3 linked regions of the Bombyx mori genome follow. The protein of the gene in region 1 purifies or fractionates together with the protein of each later gene. This does not show direct contact. Links are inferred from orthologs where the notes say so. Each region holds a gene or a part of one and is shown on either strand. Other genes may lie near its edges. The genes, in order: syntaxin-7, gamma-soluble NSF attachment protein and BET1-like protein.

What was found.
Region 2: the proteins of syntaxin-7 (region 1) and gamma-soluble NSF attachment protein purify together in Homo sapiens (affinity purification with mass spectrometry; 3 studies listed by BioGRID and IntAct, counting the BioPlex papers as one, with this or other methods). This does not show direct contact. The link is inferred for Bombyx mori from reciprocal best matches to the Homo sapiens genes STX7 and NAPG.
Region 3: the proteins of syntaxin-7 (region 1) and BET1-like protein purify together in Homo sapiens (affinity purification with mass spectrometry; 3 studies listed by BioGRID and IntAct, with this or other methods). This does not show direct contact. The link is inferred for Bombyx mori from reciprocal best matches to the Homo sapiens genes STX7 and BET1.

The regions. Positions count from the first base shown.
Region 1 is NC_085107.1:5,738,122-5,744,546, forward strand, and holds the start of syntaxin-7, read left to right. Parts: upstream 1-2,365; 5' UTR 2,366-2,566; intron 2,567-2,643; 5' UTR 2,644-2,648; coding exon 2,649-2,754; intron 2,755-6,425. Other genes in the region: PAN2-PAN3 deadenylation complex subunit PAN3, read right to left, coding at 96-182, 255-329. UniProt on the Homo sapiens protein: May be involved in protein trafficking from the plasma membrane to the early endosome (EE) as well as in homotypic fusion of endocytic organelles. Mediates the endocytic trafficking from early endosomes to late endosomes and lysosomes.
Region 2 is NC_085107.1:1,351,788-1,358,090, reverse strand, and holds the end of gamma-soluble NSF attachment protein, read left to right. Parts: intron 1-1,245; coding exon 1,246-1,353; 3' UTR 1,354-4,633; downstream 4,634-6,303. UniProt on the Homo sapiens protein: Required for vesicular transport between the endoplasmic reticulum and the Golgi apparatus.
Region 3 is NC_085114.1:8,352,239-8,357,054, forward strand, and holds BET1-like protein, read left to right. Parts: upstream 1-2,145; 5' UTR 2,146-2,428; coding exon 2,429-2,767; 3' UTR 2,768-2,860; downstream 2,861-4,816. UniProt on the Homo sapiens protein: Required for vesicular transport from the ER to the Golgi complex. Functions as a SNARE involved in the docking process of ER-derived vesicles with the cis-Golgi membrane.

The sequences.
Region 1 (6,425 bases):
ATGCAACTTAATATTCAAAATGTCAAAGATATATGTTAGGTGGAATTAATCATAAGAAATATTTATTTTCCTAAAATGTTATTTGAAAATATTACCTTCTTAACACCTGGTGGTGAGGAATCCAAAGTGAGCTTCCCTATAGCATGGTTAAGAGAGCGTGTGGGCGTCGAAGTTGAGCGACTCTAAAATTTATGACAATTAAAAAAAATCGCTTTCTTAAAATAATAATAAAAATTTAAAAAACAATGTCTTACCATGTATGTAACTAGCTTCGATTCTTGTGGAAGCCCGTTAGGCGGTGCGTATGGTAGAAATATTGATGGATCCATAATTTCAAAACTGCAGTGCGTCTGTGCAGTCTGCTGCAAAGAAGAAAAAACATAGTCAATAAATCAATAAAAGTAGCGTAGGTACCTACTTCACAGTTTTGTTCCCAACTTATGTAGGTAGTAAGCACTTTAAAATTGACCTACCTTAATTTATGATTCTTTTCGATTCACAGTTATTCATGACAATGAGAGTACCCCAACATGTCGTTATTAAGGGTTCAATTTCAACCAGACATATTTGGAAAGCTAGAATACTATATTAAATACGTGATAGAAATCAAACCCTCAAAAATCTAAAAACTACGTATTTCATTGTCTCAAAAGACGGGGCTTAAAGGCAATCTTTATTGATTCATTCACACAAAACACTGGGGCAGCAATTTTAATACAAAATTCACGGACTCTCAGAGACGGGGACACGAAGACAATAGAGACATTAAACAGGAACAGGTAAGAGATGAGTCCTAATACGTCGGTGAAGGTAGTGTGTACCAGTGTACGTACACTACAGTGAAACAGTCTTCCATAGACTAAAAAACATTACCCATGTAAAATGTAAGTCAACATTATAGAATCTAGTACAATCCGGGGTGTGTGAATTCGTTAGCATAACAATTTAATGATTTTCGACTTATTCTGATAAATTTACCCGTATTGGAATGAATCTGTTGTTTATGTGCAGTAAAAGATAAGAAACTGAAAAATACATAATAAGGTTTTTGTTAATTAAGTTGGTCTGAATCATCAATTTCTTGCATTAATTATTACAAAATATTTTAGTTTTCAAATAAAGTTTTTATGATTAAAAATACATTATCTAGGGCCGGTTTAATTAAAACATCATGCTAAGAAAAGAGTTAGTTATTTTTATATTTCACCTTGTTAGGTATTGTTAAGATTATATTTAATCTCGCCTTTTTTCTAGTTTTCTCATAATAGGTTGAAACCGTGCTACCAAGATCTAATGGTCGATTTTATAGCCGCCACTCATGATAAAAGGAGTTATAGGTTATTATTTTCATTTGAAAGTTTTCATCATTATATGTATGGTTTTATTTTTATTTTTAAAATATAGTTGATTTTAAAATTTTACTAATTAAAATATAAAAAAAATACTGTAAAACATCCATTATCCACTTTTTAGAGCATGGCATTCCAGCCTTCTAAAAGGCTTGCTTCGAACTATCTTGTGAGACGATGAGTTTAGATGGGATAAAAAATGACCCAGAAGTGGCTTAGCGGGGAAATTAATGTAATTCTAAGTCATTCACTCCATTTCATGACAAAAAGAGCATGACCCATTTACGAAGCCTTCAATAGTCTCTTACACTATATGATGTAATGGAAAAGCTTGTAAGGCCATACCAACAATGAAGCATTTTCTATCTTTAAATGCGCGATTGTATCAGAGTCTATTAACTGCTATCAGTGAGCTTTTTATTTTTTGAACTAGTCTATGGGCCAATATGTGCTGGCGACCAGCAGATTCTTAGTAAAAACGTGTCAATGTCATTCTGCAACGATTAGGGAAGATACGTGAATACGGTAGTAGTACCCTAGCCAGTTTTTTGCTGAAGATGATATATAGTGGGAAAGAGAGAGCCCTACTATCTCTATACCGATCTGATGTTACTTAAAGAGAAGGCATACATTTTGTAATAATTTTTTTTCAGTTTAAGCATTTAATAAATAATAAAATAAGTTTTCAAAAAGTTCAAGTATCCAATAGGTTCAATTAAATTGAAAACAGTAATCACGTCAGTGAGAGCTTTGGGAAAATTAAACATAATTGCATTGGGTTTTTAAAAAAATGCATTGAACTGTTTACAAATGCCCACCACGTTGTTGAGAGTTAATTAATTTAATTTTATCCAACTATTGCTCTGATGTCTTATGTCATATAATTTCAGTCCATTTAAAATTTCACATAACAGACACGCCTTCCGTCCTTTTTACAAAAAAATATCTATGGGCTCTGTTTTCTTTGCCTTTCTACAGAACAAATCAAACAAACAACAATCTGTTTTGTCAACTGTCATTTTTGATGAGTAATTTTGAGCAAGCAGTAACTGCAGTCCTATGATCAGCTCTAAACTTATCTGTAGTAAATGAGTAGCATATTCTGCGTTTGATTGTTTTCTATCATAGCTCTGTAGTGTATGGGAAGAAGAATACAAACCATTATTTTAATTAACATAAAACTATACATACTCACCATCTCTTTCAATTTATAGTGGGTAGGTACATGATTAATAACACTATATTTTCACGTTTACTTTCATTGTATATCGATTATTTATTGTTTATTTCGTAGTGAAAATGGAGGCGTCTTATCAAGGAGGTGTGTCATACGATGAGAATGGAGATAACTTTCAACGACTTTCTCAAACTATCGCCAGTAATATTAAGAAAATATCCCAAAATGGTAAGTGTTATTTTGAATGCTGAAATGTGAGATTAACGTATGTGAATCTAAGCCTAATATTAGAGAGATACAAAATTACTAGGAAAAATCAAATCAATTAGAAATTTTACTGATTAGAATCGTTCTTACTAAAGTTTTTCTAACATGTGTTTCAATATTTAATGTTTTAAGTTCTAAGTTAGACTACAAAACCCATAGATAGCACTGAGAATGCTGCCACCTTCAGGCTCCTGGAGTCTCAAGTGTTTTGAATAATGTTGGCTGTCTCACCATTCACTCTGGAACTTGAGACTACTTTGAGGCTAAAAGAGACAGGATCTTTCTATCATGCTTTTTTTCTAAAATGTTGAATTCGCTCATCGCCAAGTGATCTCCTTGCTATCATTATATGCCCCACTCTTACTTTATTATACCAATTTTATTTGAGCTGTCAATATTCATCTGAAATAATAATAATAATAAGGATTAACTTTGTACAACTGACGACCGCCAGTCTGGCGTAGGATCTTTCTATCATGCTTTTTTTCTAAAATGTTGAATTCGCTCATCGCCAAGTGATCTCCTTGCTATCATTATATGCCCCACTCTTACTTTATTATACCAATTTTATTTGAGCTGTCAATATTCATCTGTAATAATAATAATAATAAGGATTAACTTTGTACAACTGACGACCGCCAGTCTGGCGTCCCGAGGGGGAGGGTGATGGGAGAGATGTGCTCCGCACTAAACGCTTCACTTTCCCCCCTTTGCCTTGTCATGAGTTCTGTCTCATGCGAGGTTTGGACATTGGTTGTTGAGCGACAGGAGGTTTTAGTCAGTTCGACTCTGACATACCCTGCTCAGTATCCCCAGAAAATGGTGGAAGTCTGGTGATTTCCTGCTGACCAAAAAAAAAAAATGTTTTGTTTAGATTTATTGACTAAATGGTGTCTTAAAATTATTTAACTTGAATAATGCATATACAGTCAAAACCGTTTACTGCGACATCGTTTAATACGACATGCCAGTTATAATAACCAAGAACAAAGGTCCCGGCTGAATGCCATATGACCGCCTTATTAAAAATATTGCTTTCTACGACATTGCTTATAACGACATACCTCATAAAACGACCACATTTAACTAATATTTCGGAGAATTAGATCTGTTAGAACGACCGACTAAGCTGTATTGTAAACAATTTGAATAGGTATCCACATTTGTCTTCAATGGCTATTAAAATCAGGAAAGAAAACAATAGGATTTAGTTTAGTGTAGGGTCTTTTCTAATTCTTAGAAACAAAACACGTGCATGCAGTAGAGTCAAAGCCCGCTTCTTCATATCGCTTCAGTTAGTTTGTTACTTATCTATACACAAGACGCACCAAAACTTTGTGGAGTTATTCGTGAAACTTTCAAAATGTCGCAAAGAAAAAGAAAACAAATTAATATTGAAGAAAAATCGCGTATTATGTAAATATATTTTTCCAATAATTCCCTATCGATTTGTTTGTACTTTCACGATACACATTATATACATCACCGGTTGTTACGACTATCGGTTTTTACGACTTAATATGAGCAGTCCCTTCGATGTCGTTATAACAGATTTTGACTGTAGTTGCTATTTGTAAGTAAACAAATATAAATATTAAGAAAAAAGTTTTATGAAGTTAGATAAAATATATTAAAATTAGGATAATGTTTGTCCTTAAACATATGCAAAGAAAAAATCAGTCTACATCAAAAGTAAAGTATGCTTTATTGTACACCAATATCTGAACTTTTACTACATACATAATTGTTATGTATGTAGCTATATGTAATAATAAAAATAAAATAACACATGCACATGTGTACCAATCATATAAAATAAATAAAGATACAAAACGTTAAACAAAAGAACAGTGGTGAAATCACAAAGAGAGGCCTCTTGAAAATAGCCAATATGTGAGCAAGAATTTTTGAATGAAAGGAATTTACTGAGGTGTACTTATCAAATAAAAAAGAAAAACAGAATAGTATTTTAGTATTTACAAAATTCATCATTAAAAATGCATTTTGATAGTTATGTTTATACCAAAGCATTTGAAGTCTTATGTTAGAGCACAGCATATGCCAGTTTGATTTGAACAATTCTTTATGCATTTTTTTTTCTACCTATGCTGATAGCCTTGAGAGGCTATTTCAGCTTCACCCTAACGTTTGTAGGTGAGCTCGCGGGGCTCAACCGGAGAGTTGCTAACACTGACCCTAGCAAGAGCAGTGCTTCGCAGAATCTACCACCGGATCGGAAACGCGACCCACTGAGAAGATCCAGCGAGAAACTCAGTGGGCTGTGTCTATGGGTTTTTTGCATTTTGTCATTCAGTTATTTATGAAGAATCTTAAATAATTAATAACTAACATAAGTACTTTTAATAAATTTCAATATATAAAATAATAAAGCCTTTTGTTCAGACAACAGATTTACAATTATCTTTCTTATACTACTGCACTTTTATGTATTTAACACAATTAAAATTATTCACATATTTGGTGCTTCTTTACTTTCTGTAAATCCATAGGCTGTTGGCAAAGGCCTCCTCCAACCTACTTTATACTGATCTCTTTTGATCTTGTGTAATTGTTTTAAAAATTTTGCAATTGTTTTCTTATGTGGTTGGAGGATTGTGCTCCTTTTCTCCTGCAAGGACTTGTGGCTTGCAGGAAATTGTGTTATTTCTTTTGTTTGGTTTTCATAATTTGGTTGGATTATCCGTTTGGCGGCTGTTATTGGTTTTTATGTGTGAGGATATGAGTGGGAGGGTTTGATCGGATTCTCATCAAATCGAAGGCGTTTGTCCTGTGTGTTGTGGTAGCAAAGGCTTTCTCTTTTATGTAACTTCCTAAGCTACCAATATATAGATTCATTTTAAGCTCTGTATATTTAGTTTACTTCCATAAATAAATTAAGGTCTCTTTTAAAGTACTCTTTAACAGTTTGAAATAGTTCTAACATGGATTTTTCGAAATTGTTAATATGAATTATGGCAATGACTTTGGGAAATTACTCTTTTAATACTCATGTACATAATATAATATATAATATAATATAACTACTTTAGTTGTAGACGTAGTAGTAAAGAACTAGAAACAATATTACAGTGGTCTCCACAAATAAACAAAACCCATAAAAACTTGCTAGAATGTGCTATTTTGCAATGTGAAATTTAATTAACAATAAATTGGCTTTAGAATAACATTACAAATTAAATTTTATTTATATTTTAATCCTAAGAAGTATATCGTATTTCACAATTCTTAATTTAGTAGTATATATAATATACGTATACATACATTAGAAAATGAAATAAATTGATTGTATAAGGAAAAAGCAAATGAGAAAAATAGCTAAAACTTTTCACTTACTACCTATATAATTACTGTTGTACATTTTCCTTGTACATAAATCATGTTTTTATGTAGTTGAACTTCATTAGTGCTTATCAGGACTGTTAATATGATGGCTCTGTTAATTGAAATGATTATAATAATGATAAGAAACATTAAAATTTAAAATTAAAATTTGCTAAGCTTTAAGTTTTTCAGTAATTTTCAAAACTAAAAATGTTCCCTGAAATCTGAACTATTATTTTATATAATACTAGCGACCCGCCCTCGCTTCGCTTCGGAAACATTAAAACACA
Region 2 (6,303 bases), about 4.4 Mb from region 1:
TAATCCCGGTCTCACGGATCGTTTGGAACCTCTGGGTCTGCGGAGGGACTTCGGTTCTCTCTGTATTTTATACCGTATGTTCCATGGGGAGTGCTCTGAGGAATTGTTCGAGATGATACCGGCATCTCGTTTTTACCATCGCACCGCCCGCCATCGGAGTAGAGTTCATCCGTACTACCTGGAGCCACTGCGGTCATCCACAGTGCGTTTCCAGAGATCTTTTTTGCCACGTACCATCCGGCTATGGAATGAGCTCCCCTCCACGGTGTTTCCCGAGCGCTATGACATGTCCTTCTTCAAACGAGGCTTGTGGAGAGTATTAAGCGGTAGGCAGCGGCTTGGCTCTGCCCCTGGCATTGCTGAAGTCCATGGGCAACGGTAACCACTCACCATCAGGTGGGCCGTATGCTCGTCTGCCTACAAGGGCAATAAAAAAAAAAAAAAAAAAAAAAAAAAAAAAAAAAAAAAAAAAAAAAAAAAAAAAAAAAAAGATCGATTTATTATATAAATGGGTGAATCACTACATAGTATAAAACAAAGTCGCTTTCTCTGTCCCTATATCTGTCTGTCCCTATGTATGCTTAAATCTTTAAAACTACGCAACAGATTTTGATGCGGTTTTTTTAATAGATAGAGTGATTGAAGAAGAAGGTTTATATGTATAATAACATCCATTAAATAGTGGAGAAATCAATAATAAATTACAGTTTCCGAAGCGAAGCGTGGGTGGTTCGCTAGTTTATTATAATCCGATGAGACTTTTTGGCGGGAACACGAGGAGTGAAGTTGTGTGATTTGTTTTATGTTATCTATTTAGCGTTTCTTCATGTTTAAATGCGTAATAACGGTAGTTTATTAACTGTTTAGTATATGTGAAAGTGCAAAAATGTGGGGAAATGAAACAAAGCTGCTGGACGTAACTTCTCGTGATCCTTCAAAAAGCCTACTGAAAAAGTCTCAATAGATAACCACCATTTTACTGAGATTATATTTCATCCCATATCATCTCATCTCATTTCATTTAATTTCGTCTCAGTTGATTAACGTATTAAAATAATTATCTTCAATTAATTTCATTTCACTCCATATTATCATTTTTCATAAAAATAAGAATATAAATTAAAATAAGACTAAAGATCTAATAAGACTAGATCTAAAGGTCTTAGTTACCAGGTCATAATATCGCTTTAAAAAATATATATAATCCGATGGTGACACTCGAAATATTGATTAATTGTTTTACAGGAACATCATCGTGCCTACGACGAGGAGAATGAGGAATCTCCGTATGAGCCCGTCACTTACGGCCCCAAGAAGATCGAGGAAGAGGACGAAGACGAGGAGCTCTGCTAAATCAATTCGTAATAAACCCGTTTCCTTAACATCCGCTTCCCGAATACACACCTTAGACCACACACATAGCCCAGAGACTTTTAGGCGAAGAAGGCGTTAATGAATTCGAGTGGTGCTTCTTCCTTTGAGAAATTTATCGGAGGAGGAACTTAGTGATGGATTATGAGCTGTAACTGTAATTTATTGACGACACACAAACAAGACACAAGTTTATTTTTTTTCGTTACATGTCGAGTCAGCAATGTATAGCGCAGAAACCGCTAAGAGTCAATAGTCGCACGAGTTGCGTGATTTTAAATTTTTGTGTTGCCATTACATTGATGGATTTGAATCCAAACGTGACGTTGTATGATTATTGTTTAATCTCATACGATTTCTTTCTGTGATACATGAATTACCTTATTTTATTTCGTTTAATTAAAACACGCGCCGTAATTTGAATATTTTTTACGTTTGCCATCGAAAACACTACCGTCACACAATCGTACCATATCGTCTGATATGATGTGTTCCAACCTCTTATCTATCTTGCGTATTCTGTAAATTCGTAATGTTAAAGCGAAACGGGTTAATATACTAGTTACATTCCTCAGCTTAAGTAATTACGCCCATAGCGATTGAAACCTTCACTTTGAATGTATTCCGTAATCAAATATTATTAGATATTAGTATAAGGGGATAACGCCGTACATAATTGTATTACCGTAACGAAATCTAGCAACGCGTCATTGTCTCATATCGGATGACGTCATTAATCTTGTGATTGTGTTGTTTAGTGCAATATGCTATTGATCCGGCGGTTCCCGAACATATGTTATCATTAATCTTTAACTTAACATTTAATCATGTAAGTGTATGTATAAAAGATGCATCCTTTTGTTTAATTGTTTTGATAGTTAATTAATGTATAATACTTTTCATTTACGATTCTTTGTATGCTCAGTTTTTGTATATTAATTATATTTATGTACTTTTTTTTAAATAATTAAGTATGTTGTTAAGTTTTAATCGGTAATAGAATCTTAAATAGAACGACACTGTCCTAAATTCAGCCAGGCTAAGCGCATTTATACGAATCGTTAATCGAACTATTATTCAGTTGTGGTCTATGGATTTCCATTGACCATTCAACATCTCGAGATTAATGCGACAAATATTAAATACAACACCGTCCGTTCAATTAAGACCATCATCGACAACTAGTAAGTCGATTATTCGATCGTATGCATATGTTAAGCCCGAGCGTAACAACAGCAACAATAGTGAATTTGTTGGCATAACTTTAAAAAAAAAACTACTGCTGTAGCGTTGACAATAAAGAAACGTCAAACTTCAACTGCCTATTTAGAACTAAGAACAAGTCTGAAAACACGCACAAAAAGCGTAGGTATCGCTTGACGTGGCAAAAGGATATAATGTTTTGTCTTTTGTATTTGGCGTTTCAGCCGCTGCCTTTGAAACAGTAAGACTCGATAAAAAACTTAAATAGCAAGTATCGTAATCGTTTGAGCGTAGTAAGATTTCGTTCGTATGTATTTGATACTTTAGCCGCGGCTAACGTTTACAGCTTAAGTTTAATGAAACGATTGCTGGATTTACAAATGGAAGATTATTGTGCATTTTACGATACCGTAAAATGGGGCGATTAGGGACAAATTCCAACTTTATGAGCAATTTTAAGGTAGTTGTTGATGTATATAATGCTATATCAGGATCAAAATGGTTGAGTCTTGGGGGCATCTTTGTTGTCTAATTTAAAATTATGCAACTAGCATTCCAGTTTAAGCAAAAAATGCAAAAATAGGTGTAATCCCTATTTACCCGAAAATTGCGGTTAATTGGGACGAAATGAGAAATTTGCTAGGGTTGGCACTACTTTTATTTTTATATATAGTTTTAATTTATTTATTTATTTAGTTGCACCAACAAAGTGATCATCAATAAAAAAAATTGAAAACTGACAAAAGTACATGGCAGACATCACCTCAATTATAGGTGCAATCGACAGTGCATTAACAACAACAAAAAAATATATATATACATATATATTTATTTATACATATATAGTGGGCTTTCTTAGAAACGGTTTATATTTCTCCGTTCTTGGTAAGTACTTAAGGGCTGATATTTCTATCTGGGTTCAGAGATTAGGTGTGTCGGTTATTCCATGGATTAATCAGATGAATACTCCCACTCTGAACAAATATTAAATATTTTATTATGTATTACTTAGACATTTTGGTCCACCTTGAGATTTCATTGATCTTGTTACATGTCTCTGCAAAATCGACTTACTTATATTAAATTGCTTATCTATTTCAACTAAAGACTTATTCCCAATTTCGCTTCGAATAAACCAGATTTTTACCAACAAATTTAAATAATATTTTTATAACTACATAGACAACCCTACAAACCTGTACCTATTTATACTTAGGTCGTTTCCATTTCACGTATTCTCATCCCAATTGACCCCTTTTTCGTTGTTATTTATACCTAAAGCGTCCCCAATATCCCCAAAAACAACAGATTTTTACATGTATTTTTATTTGATCAAATACATTAAAACCAATAACAACTGAGACTTACCTTTAATATATATGCTGGTTCAAACACTAAATAACGTTTATAAATCATAGTCGTCTTCTATTATTATCAAATAAATAAAAGAGAGCAAAGTTTCTAGCACTAAAATAATTACCACCACAGGAAGTTAATTTGAAACGCGATTTTTTATAAGTTAGCAGCTATTATCATGCATATTCAGATTTGTTTTGTGAACTTTCAACATTCTACTATTAAACTACAAAAAACGGAAGATTTTGCAACGAATATAAAACTTATATTGAGCGTCGAAAAATTTTCCCGGTTTTTTCCCGATTCGCCTCTCAATCCCTAATCGCCCCATTTTACCGGTACTAGAATCTTTTTCTTATTCTTATCTATAAATTATTTGAGTGGCTATAAAACTTTTAAAATCCGAGTATGGCTATTAGGGCTATATAATCACATTTCAGCAACGACTAACTTCAGATTGTTCTATGCAAATGCACAATAATCGACGGACACATATTTAAGACTCTATTCGTGTAATTTAATATGAAATGCATCATTAATATAATATGAAACAATGTAATATTAACCACGCATCAGTGGGATATCTATAGTTCAAGTTCAATTTGCCGCGTTCAGTAAGTGCAGGCGTCAGTTTTAATGATGTATGAGTAAAGTGGAGAGCCCACTATATGTTCACTTTTATTAGTAATAAATGTAATCAATAGACCAGCGTTATTATTAAAACCTATCTTGTCGTTTATACCACTCCCATCACCTATCCTAAGTGGTCACACAGTATAATCTGAATTGAATTAAGATTTACGACCACCGCCCAGATGACCACCATACGACACAGCCCACTGAGTTTCTCGCCGGATCTTCTCAGTGGGTCGCGTTTCCGATCCGGTGGTAGATTCTGCAAAGCACGGCTCTTGCTAGGGCCAGTGTTAGCAACACCTCCTGGTTTGAGCCCCGAGAGCTCACCTACACCCTAGGGTTACGCAGACATAGCCTCTCAAGGTGGTACGGTAGAAAAAAAAAGAACCGGATGACGTCAATCTGCTTAAGAACATTTGTCAGCGAATTGCCAAATCATGTATAAGGTATGCCTTATTGAATGAAAACTCTGATTCCTAAGGTTCCTGATTCTAAAGGATTCCTAAGGATTCCTTTGAAACAAAAATTCCAAATCCAATTACATTTGCGAAGCCGACTTAACCTAATAGGTGCATGGCTCTAATAAACAAACAAAAAAAAAAAACATTTGTGCGGACTCTATCAAACGGAGTCGAAATATGAGGATCTATTACACAAATCTCACCAGTCTCACTCTTTCGGATAATAAAGATAAGTAAAGTAGAGGCATCACTTTATTCGAAGCGGAGATATGCAAGTCCCATAAAGCTTGATACGGTTATTAGGTAATTTGTCTTACTTGCAGTAACAATGATGGTTGAAGCTAACCTATTTAATGAAGTCAATTTGACCAAACTGTAGTATATTAATAATAAAAAATTAGGATTCCCTGTGTTATTGGTACCGGAGACTGCCATACTTACTGCAGCGCCCCTAGCGGCAAACGTAGGCAAACCTTCCAACTCCGTACATATTTTTTTCTCGGGCCGGGGGCCGAACCTTTTTTTTATTTATTGCTTAGATGGATGGACGAGCTCACAGTCCACCTGGTATTAAGTGGTTACTGGAGCCCATGAACATCTACAACGTAAATGCGCCACCCACCTCGAGATATAAGAAAACCTCATACGAGGTACCCACCCGCGTATGTTCGGCGACGACAGCGACGACTCCATATAAACTTGAGTAAACTTTTACGCTATCGAGAGCGTTAAAAATCTCGCACTAAGCACACTAATGTGTGTACCAAACCCACGACCCTCGGCGCAACAAACAGGGCCGCTAACTACTTCACCACCGAGATACTCTCGTGGAATTAATTACCTTTGCTTCATTGCTTGCATTGTTTTTTGAATGTAAGTTGTGTTTTGGTGTGCAATAAAGTGTATTCTCTGTCTCTCTCTCTCTTAGACGGGCGTACGAGCTAATTACTATGGAGATAGAACGTTAAAAAAACGTGTTCCATACTTACTCAATAGTTTACCCGAGGACATAAGACGTGAGCCTATACTTGCTAAATTTAAATAAAAAAACATTTGTTAAATACGTTGTAACCATTTACGTAAATTAATTGTGTTATTAAAGTATAAGCTAGTTGAATGGTTTATACGCTATGTTTGTATAAAGCGAGTTACCTGCAGTTAAACTGCGTAAGCAGTTTTGCGGGGAATGTTTTGAATGTAAGTGTAACTTTTTATGAATAAATATATTACATACATAACGGCCCCCGCGGTATAGTTACTGGAGTCCGTAGACATC
Region 3 (4,816 bases), on another chromosome or scaffold:
TACGACATAATAAGTACTTTGCAGCGAAGCTGGGATGGTTCTCTAACATATTCTAAATGCTAATCGCCTATCTTATTTAATTATACATATTCTTGATGGACTACTCATCACATAATATTATTCATATGCTACTGTCATCATTTGAGTTTGTTTCAAGGATTATATGACTACTATTATTTAGCAGCAAAAAGCTAGGCATTCATTGAATAATGTTTTTTTTTAATTTTATATCTGCGTGAATAAAAACAAACTGAAATTAATTAGATACTTAATTCAGTAGAAAATATTAACAACAATCTTATGTATATGTAGATTTATAATTTTTGTTCAATCAGTTTTTCTATATTATGTTCTGAAATCAACTGCTATGTGCAATACATTCCCCTCGAGGCACATTAAATTTTTATGTAAGTAGTAATAAGAAAGCTTTATTCTTCGATAGTTACTGACTGTTAAAACTTTGTACAATAATAATTATTGAAAAATAAAATAATTGAGTATGTATGTAGCATGTTTTATTAAATTATTAATTATTTTGCGTTCTGCGTTCAGCGACTTATTAAAAGTTCACAAGAGAAGGTATATTATGTAAACCCGTTCCAACTTCCAAGCGCACGAATTCTGAGCGGCAGATGGGAAGTCGAGCACCAAGTCGAAAAAGCATGAAGTTCATGCGCGTGCAAAATCAAAAGAAAATGTTAAAAAGACGTTGTAGGGCCCGGGAATAGCTAATTAACGGCGGCTTAAAAGGGATAAGAAAAAGTTTGCAGGTTGAATTATCGTTTAATTACTTTGAAAGCATTTTCGGAAATACATTTTCTTGATTGAACAGATTAAAAACTTTTCATGCGATATGAGTGCGCCAATGCTTAATTAAACTGTTCGAAAAACCAGTTTCCATGTTTTTTTTTTAAAGGGCCTTCTGATATTATTATCAACGTTGAAAATTGTAATTTAAATAAAGTACGAATCACGACATTTTTTAAATCAAAGTGCCTCAACGTTGCGATGTAAACAAGAAATATTTATCTGCATAATCTACTTTCTAAATATAATTTTTTTAATTTATCTATAATAATTGTGAAAACCCACGATTAATTTGGGAAATTGGGCAGTATGTGTCCAGTCCGCACGGGTAGGTACCACCACCCTGCCTATTTTTGCAGTGAAACCAAGGTGGATGGTGCATTTACGTTGTAGATGTCTATGGACTCCAGTAACCACAAGACCAGGTGGGCTGTGAGCTCGTCCACCCATCTAAGCAATAAAAAAAATCAATATTAGTAGGTTTATTTATTTATTTTTTAGTTCTGAAGCTGATTGTCTCGTGAGTATTAGGAATTGCAATATTTTGTTTTTATATATGCTTCCACTTGTTCCTTAATTTTGTGGTCGTGCTCATCGTTAGTTACGTGTCACGGTACTGTAACACAGAATTCTCTGTGTTTCGCCTATTGCGGGATAGCCCTAAGTATTTTCCTTCATCAGCTCGTAGGATTTCAGTTCTACTATGTGACTGGTAGACTGAAAGATGAGCGTTGAAGACTTTTTTCTCTACCTAATCGCTGGTAGCCCTAAGGGTCTATTCCAGCTAATCACCGACTGGTAGGTGAGGTCATTCAATCTGAGAGTTTGCTAGCACTGGCCCTAGCAATAGTAGTGTTTCGCAGAATCTACCACCGGATCGGAATTGTAAACCACTGAAAAGACCCGGTGAGAAACCCAGTGAGTTGTGTCTATGAGCTAGTTCGCACGTCGAACTCTGACGGGAACGCGAGGAGCGAAGTTGTGTGAATTGTTCTATTTTGTTAATTTATAATAGCGGTGCTTTATTAACTGTTTAGTATCTGTGTAAGTGCACATTGTGGGAAAATAAAACAAAGCCACTGGACGTAGCTTCTCGAGTTCTTTCAAAACGTTCACTGAGAAAGTTTAAGTAAATAAACACCATTTACTGAGACCCGCATTATCAAGTTTCATTTAATTTCATCTCAAATGATTAAAATTTCAAATTAATCAACATTATTTCAATGCGGTCCATTAAATTTGTCATAAAACGAAATATGCATAATATTAGGAGACCTTCGTCTTTTCAGTTGGATAAATGGAGCTACTACTACTATTGACAGTTGACATTTGAGTCAGATAAACACGTAGGAGACTATCACATCTAACACAACTACATAAAAGCAAATTATATACTTACTGTAAACCATGTATGTTTTCAATGTGTCCAGATTATTAAATTAGTGTTTTTTTTTCATATCCTATTACAAATTGACAAAAACAAACAATATTTTATAGTAAATAGGCGGCAAGTAGATCCAAAATTAAATAAACGTCTAACGAAGGACGTAATTAACCAAGACCTGATTATCATCATCACTCTTGTGTCTTGCTGCTAATCAAAACGGCGGGCCGAACGAATATGAGGCGAGCCCGCGAAGGCTACCACTATCAGCCAGTGCCCAGAGTAGCTACGGAAGATACTATCGAAAATGAAAATGAACGAATGGCTGAAGAACTCAGTGGCAAGATATCTTCACTTAAATACATTTCCATTGAGTTAGGCAATGAAGTAAGGGACCAAGAAAAACTTTTGCGTGGATTAGATGATGATGTTGACAGAAGCTCAGGTTTCCTTGGAAAAACCATGGGAAGAGTTTTAAGGCTTGGCAAAGGGAACCACAACTATTATATTTTCTATCTATTCCTCTTCTCCATTTTTGTGTTCTTTTTGTTGTATATTATTTTAAAATTTAGATGATTTTCATTACCCATCCATCACTCCTGTGTATTATAAGTGTTTCGAAATAAATTTTGTATATGTTGAAATGTAAATAAAACATATGTATAAATTAAATGTTTATTTTATTTCACTTATTCCACAACTTTTACAATATGTTTCAATGATAAGTACTAGCTTGCACAGGTAGGTGTCAACATTTAATTTTTTCCTTCACTAAGTAACCATATGTTGTTTGAAGGACAGCCATAATAAAATACAATTGAGCCTTTAACCTTAGCTCTAAAGATAGTCAGCGGTATTTAAGTTTTGATTGTTATCTATAGGCTTAGGTATCCACTTAACTCACTCACCTACTTATGCAACAAATAAGTATAATACTTAAAATGATGCTCATATGTGATCATTAGTAAGTATTCCCTATAATAATTATGCTAACTAGTTTTTAAACTTCAATCAAAAGTATAATTCTTTTAAGATTTTACAAAAATCATCGCCTACAACTTCTTTACTTACAGCAACAAATAAATTACATGGCTTTCCGAGTGAAACAGAACAGATCCGTACACTGTCCATCAACAGAGCAATAATCCCATAAATGTTTTGTTGGTTGTTTCTACTGAAGAACTTGCTTAAGTCATCTAAAATAATTGTTGAGGGCACATTCTGCCAATCTGGTAGTGTTGAAACACTGTCTATAAGTGCTTCAATAGTTTCTACATAAAGAAAACTAATCATTTTCATGAAATGTCTATTCACTGAATTTAAATCTTGTGATAATGTGGGTAGCTGACTTAATTCTTCATGGAGAATATAAAGAACTCTTCCGTTTTCTGCACTGGATAAAGCTTCTTTAAAAAGATTTATTCTGTTTAAACTTGTTTCTTCAAAGTAGAATTGTATTTTGTTACCTTCCATAGCAAATACATTCAATTTCTGAAGTAGCTAATATAAACATCAAAATGCGCTATCTAAAAATTTGGCAAAAATAACAAGAAATAAGCAAGTAAAAAGTATTTTCATTTATGTTTATTTATAAATTTTAGTGCCTATTTCAAATACTTAGGTCATCTTTTCTCACTAAGTAATATGTATTATGTATCTCACATCTCTTTCTATTTAGTTCACACATTAATTTATTAGTTTTTTTTTGGTTCTGGCACGTTTTGTGTATTAGCCAGTGTCAAATAATAATATTTTTATAATTCGCCGTTTTAATTATTTACAGTTTATGAATAATAAAAAACGAAGGAAACTGTCCGTGTTAACCATTATTAATATTAGTGTAAGTTTGAATGAAATTAGCAGCGTGGTACGGTATAGATAATTGATGTTGAGAAAGTAATTTGATTAATGTAGTAATTAACTCTGCACATGATAATATGAAGTGAAATGTAATGAAGTTGATTAATATTATTAAACATGGCATAAAATGAAATGAAATGAGATGAGACGAACGAGATGATATGGATGAAATATAATCTCAGTAAAATGATGGTTATTTACTAAGACTGTCTCAGTGGACTTTTTGGGGGATCCCGAGAAGTTACGTCCAGCGGCTTTGTTTCATTTTCCCACATTTGTGCACTTTCACAGATATTAAACAGTTAATAAACCACCGTTATTACACATTTAAAGCTGGCGAAACACTAAATAGACAAAATAAAAACAAATCACACAACTTCACTCCTCGCGTTCCCGCCAAAAAAGTCACTGAGCCGTTAGTATTACACCGGTCACTCACATGCGCACGAATACGCAAACCCGCAGGTGTAGGACGACATTTGCGAATGATTATGCAAAGTTTTCGCTGCATTCGTGATTTTCCAAGCTGTGTCGGTTTTTTAACAGACATCAAAGCGCGCGAACCCGTTTGCGCTTCCTCCTACACTTGTTTACGAATGTCTTACGAATTTCTCCTCCTTTTTAATTCGTCAATAGAACATTGAAGAGAAAAAGAGTTTTTAATTCTTTCCCAGACATCATTAACAGCCATGCTGTTTTTATGGGATTTCTTTTGATGAAGATACGCTACACAGTAGACGTCACGAACTATGAAAATGGCGATAC